Coturnix japonica: one gene and its partner. The protein of the gene in region 2 purifies or fractionates together with the protein of the main gene of each other region. This does not show direct contact. Links are inferred from orthologs where the notes say so. Each region holds a gene or a part of one and is shown on either strand. Other genes may lie near its edges.

Region 1 (2,961 bases), on a different chromosome or scaffold from region 2:
GTTTCCCAGCCTGGAGTCTACAGACCTCATCACTGTGGTGGTTTTTATATCAGTATCTCTAAAGTGTCTTTGGTAAACTACCCTCGTTGAGTTTGTGTCCAGTGGGACCTCCTGGAGACAGAGATGGGGCATCACCAGGCCTGTAGGACAGCCACGCTGTTCTGTAATGGGGCCTTGGCTGCGTTGCTTGTGTCTGCTCCAGCAGCCAAAGTCTGCTGTGTGCCTGCACCTGTTGTTTGAAGGACATCCTTGAGTTAATGCAGCACGGAGACATAGAGCGACTCAGCCCCATTTCTTCACCAGGAGCTCCCACCCCGCTTCCCTGTGCGTCTCCTCGTGACTGCCGTAGCCTTAACCCTCAGGACTTCATTGTACAAGTGAGCTTCTCCATCGCGCTGTCTTAAAGCACAACCAGCAGGAGCCCTGCACAGCAGGGACTGGGCAAGGCAGGGGCTCAAGAGCACATTGCTCAGTGTTGGAGCCTGCAGTGTGCTTTGTCACTGGCCTTTCTATAGGAGGAGCCTTCCCTTCTCACAGTGCTGGGGCCACCCGAGGACAAGGACACGCTCCTGCCCCGTGGTGCTGCCATGCATTTGGTGACGTGGGTTTGTTGCTGAACGTCTCCGTGGCATCGTGGGTTTGTTGGCATTTGTCTCCATGAACACAGAGGACCAAAGATACCCGGCCATTCCCCAGCAGCCCAGGAGGGGCAGCGCATGGCTGTTCCTTAACAGGGACCGTCTGTAGCGGGGCTGGTGGGAGACGGAACCGTGCGGATCAATAAAATAAGCTGAAGCATTTCGATCTGATTTTAGTGCTTTAATAAACGGGTTGATGGGGAAAAGCTGCGTGGGGTGAAGGAGCCTGAGGTTGGGGTTGTAATAGAGGCCAACCCTGAGCTCCAGCTGTCAGCTCCATCACTTCGGTCACCTCCATCACCTCGGTCAGCTTCATCACTTTGCCGTCGCCGCCGCCTGCAGATTGACCTGTGTGAGCTGGTCCCGGTTCCTCCATCCCCATATTACAGAGTCACAGAATGACCCGGGTTGGAAGGGACCTCAAGGATCATGTAGTTCCAACCCCCTGCCTGGCAGGGCCACCAAACATACACCTTTACTAGATCAGGTTGCCCAGGGCCCCGTCCAACCTGGTCTTTAACACCTCCAAGGACGGGGCATCCACAACCTCCCTGTGCAGCCTGTTCCAGTTCCTAACCACTCTCATAGTGAAGAACTCCCCCCTTACATCCAACCTAAATCTTCCCTCTTTTAACTTCAAACCATTTCCCCGTGTCCTGCTATTGTCAGCCCTTTCCTGGCAGTAAGTTCCCCTCAGGTACTGACAGGCTGCACTGAGGTCACCCCTCAGCCTTCTCTTCTCCAATTGAACACACCCATCTCCCTCATCCTGTCCCCGTGGTGCCGCTGCTCCAGCCCCGTATCCCGGTCCCATATTGGTCCGTACCGCTCTATGGCAGCACTCCCGCAGCGCCCAGAACTCCCTCACACACGCGTCCCGTCGCAGCTCCGCGTTCCCGGCCGATGCCGCGGCCACGCACCGCCCGTAGGCTGCGGCCTAAAGCGGGGACAGGAAACAACCGGAGTCACCACAGCCCGACATGGCTCCCATGTGTCCCGGTGTGTGCTCCAGGCCGGGCCCCACCTGCTCCCCGCACGCCGCCAACACAGCGGGGAAGCGCCGCAGCCGCGCTCGAGCCCGGAGCCAAACGCCTCGGCCCGACATCACCTCATGCACAGGGCGCCGCCATGATGGCGGAAGAGCTGTTGGCTGCCCGCCTCTTGATAGGAGGAACGCTGCGTCTGTCAGCGCTCTGCGCGCTTGGATTGGCTGGATTGAAAATCCGGTGGTGTGGATTGGTTGCGCGCAGCACCCGCCTCCTGACCAGCTTCCTGTAGCTCTGATTGGCTAAGAGGACAGTTGTTTACTTCCTGCTACCGGCGTCAGTCCCGTAGGCCACTTCCGCCCGAAGCTCCGCCCATTCTGAGCGCTGATTGGCTGATCCTGTGAACCTCGCTCTCTCATTGGTGCTCTGCCTCTTCCTGCGGGCGGAAGTTTGAGGCCGCTCTGGGGCCGGGTGGGAGCTGAGCGGACTGTCATGGCGGCGCCGCTGCGGGACCGGCTGTGCTTCCTGAGCCGGGTACGGGCCGAGATGGGGGATGACGTCATCAGGGGGTGGACTGACGTCACCGTGGGGGGCGTGACGTCACTGATTATCCCTCGGGGTGATGGGGGGGGCGGTTCTGTGGGGCCTTTTAGGATCGCTGGGTTCTCACTGTGCCTCCTTTCAGCTGCCGGTGTTACTGCGGGGAACTGCGGACCAGGAGGAGCCGTGCCCGGGGTTTGTGTTGGAGGAGATCAGCAGTATCTGAATGGGGAGATATGGGGGGAGAGAGAGACAGCCATAACACGGGTCATGGGGACTGCAATGGGGGGAGATCCATCCAACCCTAACACATGTAATGGGGTGAGATCCATCCATCCTTAATACACATAACGGGGACAGCAATGGGGTGAGATCCAGCCATAACACATGTAATGGGCCTAATGATGGGGTGGGATCCATCCATCCCTATCACACATCATGGGCACAACAATGGGGTGAGATCCATCCATCCCTAACACATGTAATGGGCACAGCAATGGGGTGAGTGAGATCCATCCCTAATACATGTAATGGGCCTAATGGGGTGAGATCCATCCATCCCTAACACACATGTAATGGGGACAGCAGTGGGGGGAGATCCATCTATTCCTAATACACGTCATAGGCACAGCAATGGGGTGAGATTCAGCCATAACACATGTAATGGGCCTAATGATGGGGTGAGATCCATCCATCTCTTAACACACATAATGGGGACAGCAATGGGATGAGATCCATCCATCCCTAACACACGTCATGGACCTAATGATGGGGTGAGATCCATCCATCCTTAACAC
Region 2 (4,304 bases):
GTGTTTTGGATTGCTCTGATTGTTTATGTATAGTTACCACAGTCAGGGTGTTAAACCCAGCTCTTGCCAGGAGATGTCCCAGATCTGACACAGCAACAAACGGTGACACGTGAGGAGAAAATCCCCCTTCTCTCTCCAACTCTGCCAGCTGCAAAGAGCAGCGAAGCTCATACAGAGTGTCTCCCCCAAACATTGCACCAATGAAGACTCCGTCTGGCTTAAGAACGTGGTGAATCTACAACACAGATGGAAAAAGAAAATATTGTGCTTTTAATATCAATAAATACCTGGGTGTTTGTTTTTGTTTTTTTTTTTGTTTAAATGAATTTAAAAGCAATCATAACAGCTTCGATACAATTTATGTAATATACTGCGGTCTGTAATTTTCCTATTCCATAACAGGGTGCTCATATTCGTACAAAGGGGTGACATGTTTGAAATGAAGGAGGAATTGAAACCAGGAGAAGATATTCCTTGCTCTTGCTCCAAAGGCAACCCATTGGAAAGGAAGTTTTCAACAGCATCACCTCAGTTCACATTAGTTCCTATGATCTCAGCTGTTGCAATGGTGAAGTACTATACAAACAGGCTTTGTGGTTATTTATCCTAAATTGAATCGAGACAGCAAGTTAACAGAAGCATCAACTGATAGCCCTCAAACTGACAGAAACATTGCAAAGAACACCTGAGTGTAACACGAGCTGTTTTTGTGGTAGGAAGCGGACAGAGCTCCGAATGCAAGTAATGGTAAGTGTTGGTTTTTCATTTAAGAAGTTGTATTAAAAACAAATCCTCACCTCTCTAAAAGCTTTAGGAAGGTCATTCACCCAGTGTAAACTGTAACACCACAAACGAACGTCATGAAGTTTGGGGGAAGGCAAAAAAAATACGTTATACATAACATATACATACAATTAACAAACAACTTCTCAGCCTGCCAAAGTTCCCAAACACTTGCGGAGAATCGTGGTGATACTGAATGAAATTCATGTCAATAGCTAAGAGGTTGTTGTGTTGGTTTTTTTAAGGACTCGAAAAGCTGCAAATCAATTAATTAGTCAAAATACAGGAAAAAGAGTCCATGTATTTTCATAGAATGTTATGGATTGGAAGGGACCTCCAAGCCCACCCAGCCCCAATACTCAGCCATGTGCAGGGCTGCCCCCCAGCAGCTCAGGCTGCCCAGGGCCCACTAACCTGGAGCATCTCCAGGTTCAGGGCAGCACAGCTCTGTGCAACAGTGCCAGGGCATCACCAACCTCTGAGTAAAGAATTGCTGCCTAACATCTAACCTACCCCTGCTGTTTAAGGCACTGATATTCTGACAGCAATGTGAAAATACATACATATATAGCTATTTAAATAAAGAGTAAAGAAGCGATCGTCACATACCTCAGGCTACTCACAACAAGGTCAAACGTGTCTTCTTTGAAAGGCAGGAACTCCTCATCAGCCACCACGCTGACTGTGGGGATGTCAGACTCTACAGTGTTTTTCTAAGGTCAGGTTAAGGATAAGAAGCGCCATCAGCAACGTACCGTTTGTGCAGCACTGCGCCGAAGTGCTTCAGCTCTCAGGAGATACTTACGAAAACATTCTCCGCAATATCGACCTGAACGAGTTTTTCGATGACTTCCTGAAACGAGACAAGTCACAGCCATCAAAGGCAGGCTGGGCACAGTGGCGTCAAGCATGAAGACATCTCCTTAGCGCTCCGGCAAAGCTCTTTCTTTGGGCATCCCGTTGGCCCCGTACCTGGTTCAGGTGCTGGGCGATGTACCCTCTCCCACAGCCGAGGTCCAAAGCGAGGGGGAACGTCCTGCGGGACAAGCGTGGTAACGGAGTGTTGGAAATGTCCTCAATAATTCTGGTCAGGACAGTATCTCTGATAAAAGCAGTTTTTATTCACGATTTCAATGGCGGGCGCCCTGATGGCAGAAGCGCCACTATGGACATGATGTTACAGTTTTGATCCCTTTTCTCCCATATGTTTTCCCCTCCCTTCTCCCCTTTGGTTGGGTATTACAGGTTACAATTTTACCCGAGGTTTGCATTTGTTAATTACATTCTGAAATTTGTTAGTTCACTTGCTATCTTGTCAGTCGCCATCCTGCTGTTTCTGTTTCCAAGATGTCTCGGTACTCTTATCGTATTGATATGTTGATTCCCTTCAAAGCTTCTTCTATTCTGTCCCAGACGCCTTTGTTAAACAAAGTCCTTCCCGATATCTCTTCAGGCACATCCTTAGGTATGTCACGACTTGTATTTTTGTACAACAAAACATTAATACATACATTGTTGCTAGTTTATACAGGCATATTGTTAATTATTTTAACTTCTCTTTGGATCCTTTATTACTCAGGTCTTATTTGTCCAGCACCAAAAAAACAGTAGTTCCTATTAGTAGTAGTTATTAAATTCAATTAAATTAGTAGTGTCTATTTCAGACAGCTGGACAGACAGGAGCTGCAGTCTTTGTAGCTGTGATTTCTACCTAATAACTACAAATTCCTTTACTTATATAATGAGACCTTGAAATAAAATATTCTTATCTTATTCTAAATAATTAAACAGCATTTGATTCCCACAGGAGGAACGCTCGTACCTGGGGATGTCGAGCACCCGGTCCGCCACGCCGCAGCCGACCTACGGGAGAGCAGCCGCCCGTCAGCACCGCGCCCCGCACGGCACGGCCCCGCACAGCCCCATCCCGCACCTCATCCCGCAGGTACTCGTACTTCGCCGGCTGCAGAGCCGCCCAGTTCTTCTGCTTCCTCTTCAGCCGCCGGTCAAACGGGCTCCGCGCTCCCGGCGATGTACCGCTATGAGGGGGAACGTTGGCCTTGCGGCCCGGCTGTGCCCACAGCCGGCACCGGCACCGCGGGGCGGTCAGGACGGGTCGACAGAGCGCCCGCACCGCCGCCATCATCCCCACTACGCCGCTATGTGCGCACGCGTGGGATGAGCCGCAGCTCCGCCACCGTGTGGGACATGGTGGGAAATGCATCGTAAAGCTTTGGGTTCACAGCTCGGTTATAGCTATTGGGAATCCTGATATCCCAAAGTGATACCTGTGTGTGTACCTTTGGAATCATAGCATTATAGAATCACAAGGTTGGAAAGAGGGAAGATTTAGGTTGGATGTTAGGGGGAAGTTCTTCACTAGGAGAGTGGTTAGGTCCTGGAACAGGCTGCCCAGGGAGGTTGTGGATGCCCCGTCCTTGGAGGTGTTCAAGGCCAGGTTGGACGGGGCCCTGGGCAACCTGATCTAGTAAAGGTGTATGTTTGGTGGCCCTGCCAGGCAGGGGGGTTGGAACTACATGATCCTTGAGGTCCCTTCCAACCCGGGTCATTCTGTGATTCTGTGATTCTGTGAAAGGACCTACAAGATCATCTGGTCCAGCCATCCTCCCATTACCATGGCTATAGCAGACCACTAAACCAGATCTCATAGCTCCTCATCCAGCCACCTCTTTAACACTGCCAGGGACGGCGGCTAAATTTAAGTCCACAGGCCAGGACCTCAGCCTTGTGATCTGTCTCCTCCATCTTTCCACTGAGCCATTCACTTATCAGCTTCTTTTTGTCTTTTTTTATTTGGCATTTTGCTGTCACTGTCAGTGACAAAACCTGTGTATGGGAAATTGGTAATCACAGCCTGAACCTCTGATTAATCAGCTGAGGTGAGTGTTGGGTCAGCTGTGGGAGCACAGGTGAGAGTAATTTAGCTGTGCTCCTGGAAGGGGTGGAGCTTGACTCCACCTCCTCTAGACCTCATTTAAGGGCTGACCACCACTAAGGCAGCATCTCTTGGTGGTTGCTCCTTGTTGAAGATTGTCTCAGTGGTTCCCAGCAGACTGAAGGCTTCCATATGGGTGAGTTTTTCCTGTAAATAACCTTTTGGATATTTACTACTATCTTTTCATTATTGTCACCGTACAACTTGTCATACCACAGTTAGTATCCTGATGCCCTTCCACAGCCATATCACCTTCTTGTTTATCACTGCTACACTGTCTTTCTCCAGCATGAGAATCCTGAAAACACTCTTTGATCATCCTTGCCAGTAGTTGAGATAGCAGGTAGCCAGCTCACCTAAACAGGCTCAGACACCTTGATGGAAAATATTCGCTATTACTTTCTGTGGCCTGCATAGACGCATATGAAGATACCACCCTGTGTGCCTTGCACAGGGACTCTAACCTCCTAGTGCCTGTAGGAGGCTGAGTCAGATAGAGTTGCTGCTACATAACATGTTCAAGTGATTTGGGTGCTGCTAGTAATTAAAACAACAATCAGAATTT

Evidence for each region.
Region 1: the proteins of NDUFAF5 (region 2) and NDUFAF8 purify together in Homo sapiens (affinity purification with mass spectrometry; 3 studies listed by BioGRID and IntAct, counting the BioPlex papers as one, with this or other methods). This does not show direct contact. The link is inferred for Coturnix japonica from reciprocal best matches to the Homo sapiens genes NDUFAF5 and NDUFAF8.

The regions. Positions count from the first base shown.
Region 1 is NC_029533.1:5,096,726-5,099,686, reverse strand, and holds NDUFAF8 (NADH dehydrogenase [ubiquinone] 1 alpha subcomplex assembly factor 8), read right to left. Parts: upstream 1,797-2,961; 5' UTR 1,744-1,796; coding exon 1,663-1,743; intron 1,576-1,662; coding exon 1,465-1,575; intron 975-1,464; coding exon 954-974; 3' UTR 805-953; downstream 1-804. Other genes in the region: AP-4 complex accessory subunit tepsin, read left to right, coding at 2,117-2,158, 2,310-2,382. UniProt on the Homo sapiens protein: Involved in the assembly of mitochondrial NADH:ubiquinone oxidoreductase complex (complex I, MT-ND1). Required to stabilize NDUFAF5.
Region 2 is NC_029518.1:10,854,159-10,858,462, forward strand, and holds the start of NDUFAF5 (arginine-hydroxylase NDUFAF5, mitochondrial), read right to left. Parts: upstream 2,956-4,304; 5' UTR 2,930-2,955; coding exon 2,717-2,929; intron 2,647-2,716; coding exon 2,606-2,646; intron 1,820-2,605; coding exon 1,756-1,819; intron 1,637-1,755; coding exon 1,589-1,636; intron 1,497-1,588; coding exon 1,393-1,496; intron 838-1,392; coding exon 798-837; intron 236-797; coding exon 38-235; intron 1-37. UniProt on the Homo sapiens protein: Arginine hydroxylase that mediates hydroxylation of 'Arg-111' of NDUFS7 and is involved in the assembly of mitochondrial NADH:ubiquinone oxidoreductase complex (complex I, MT-ND1) at early stages. May also have methyltransferase activity.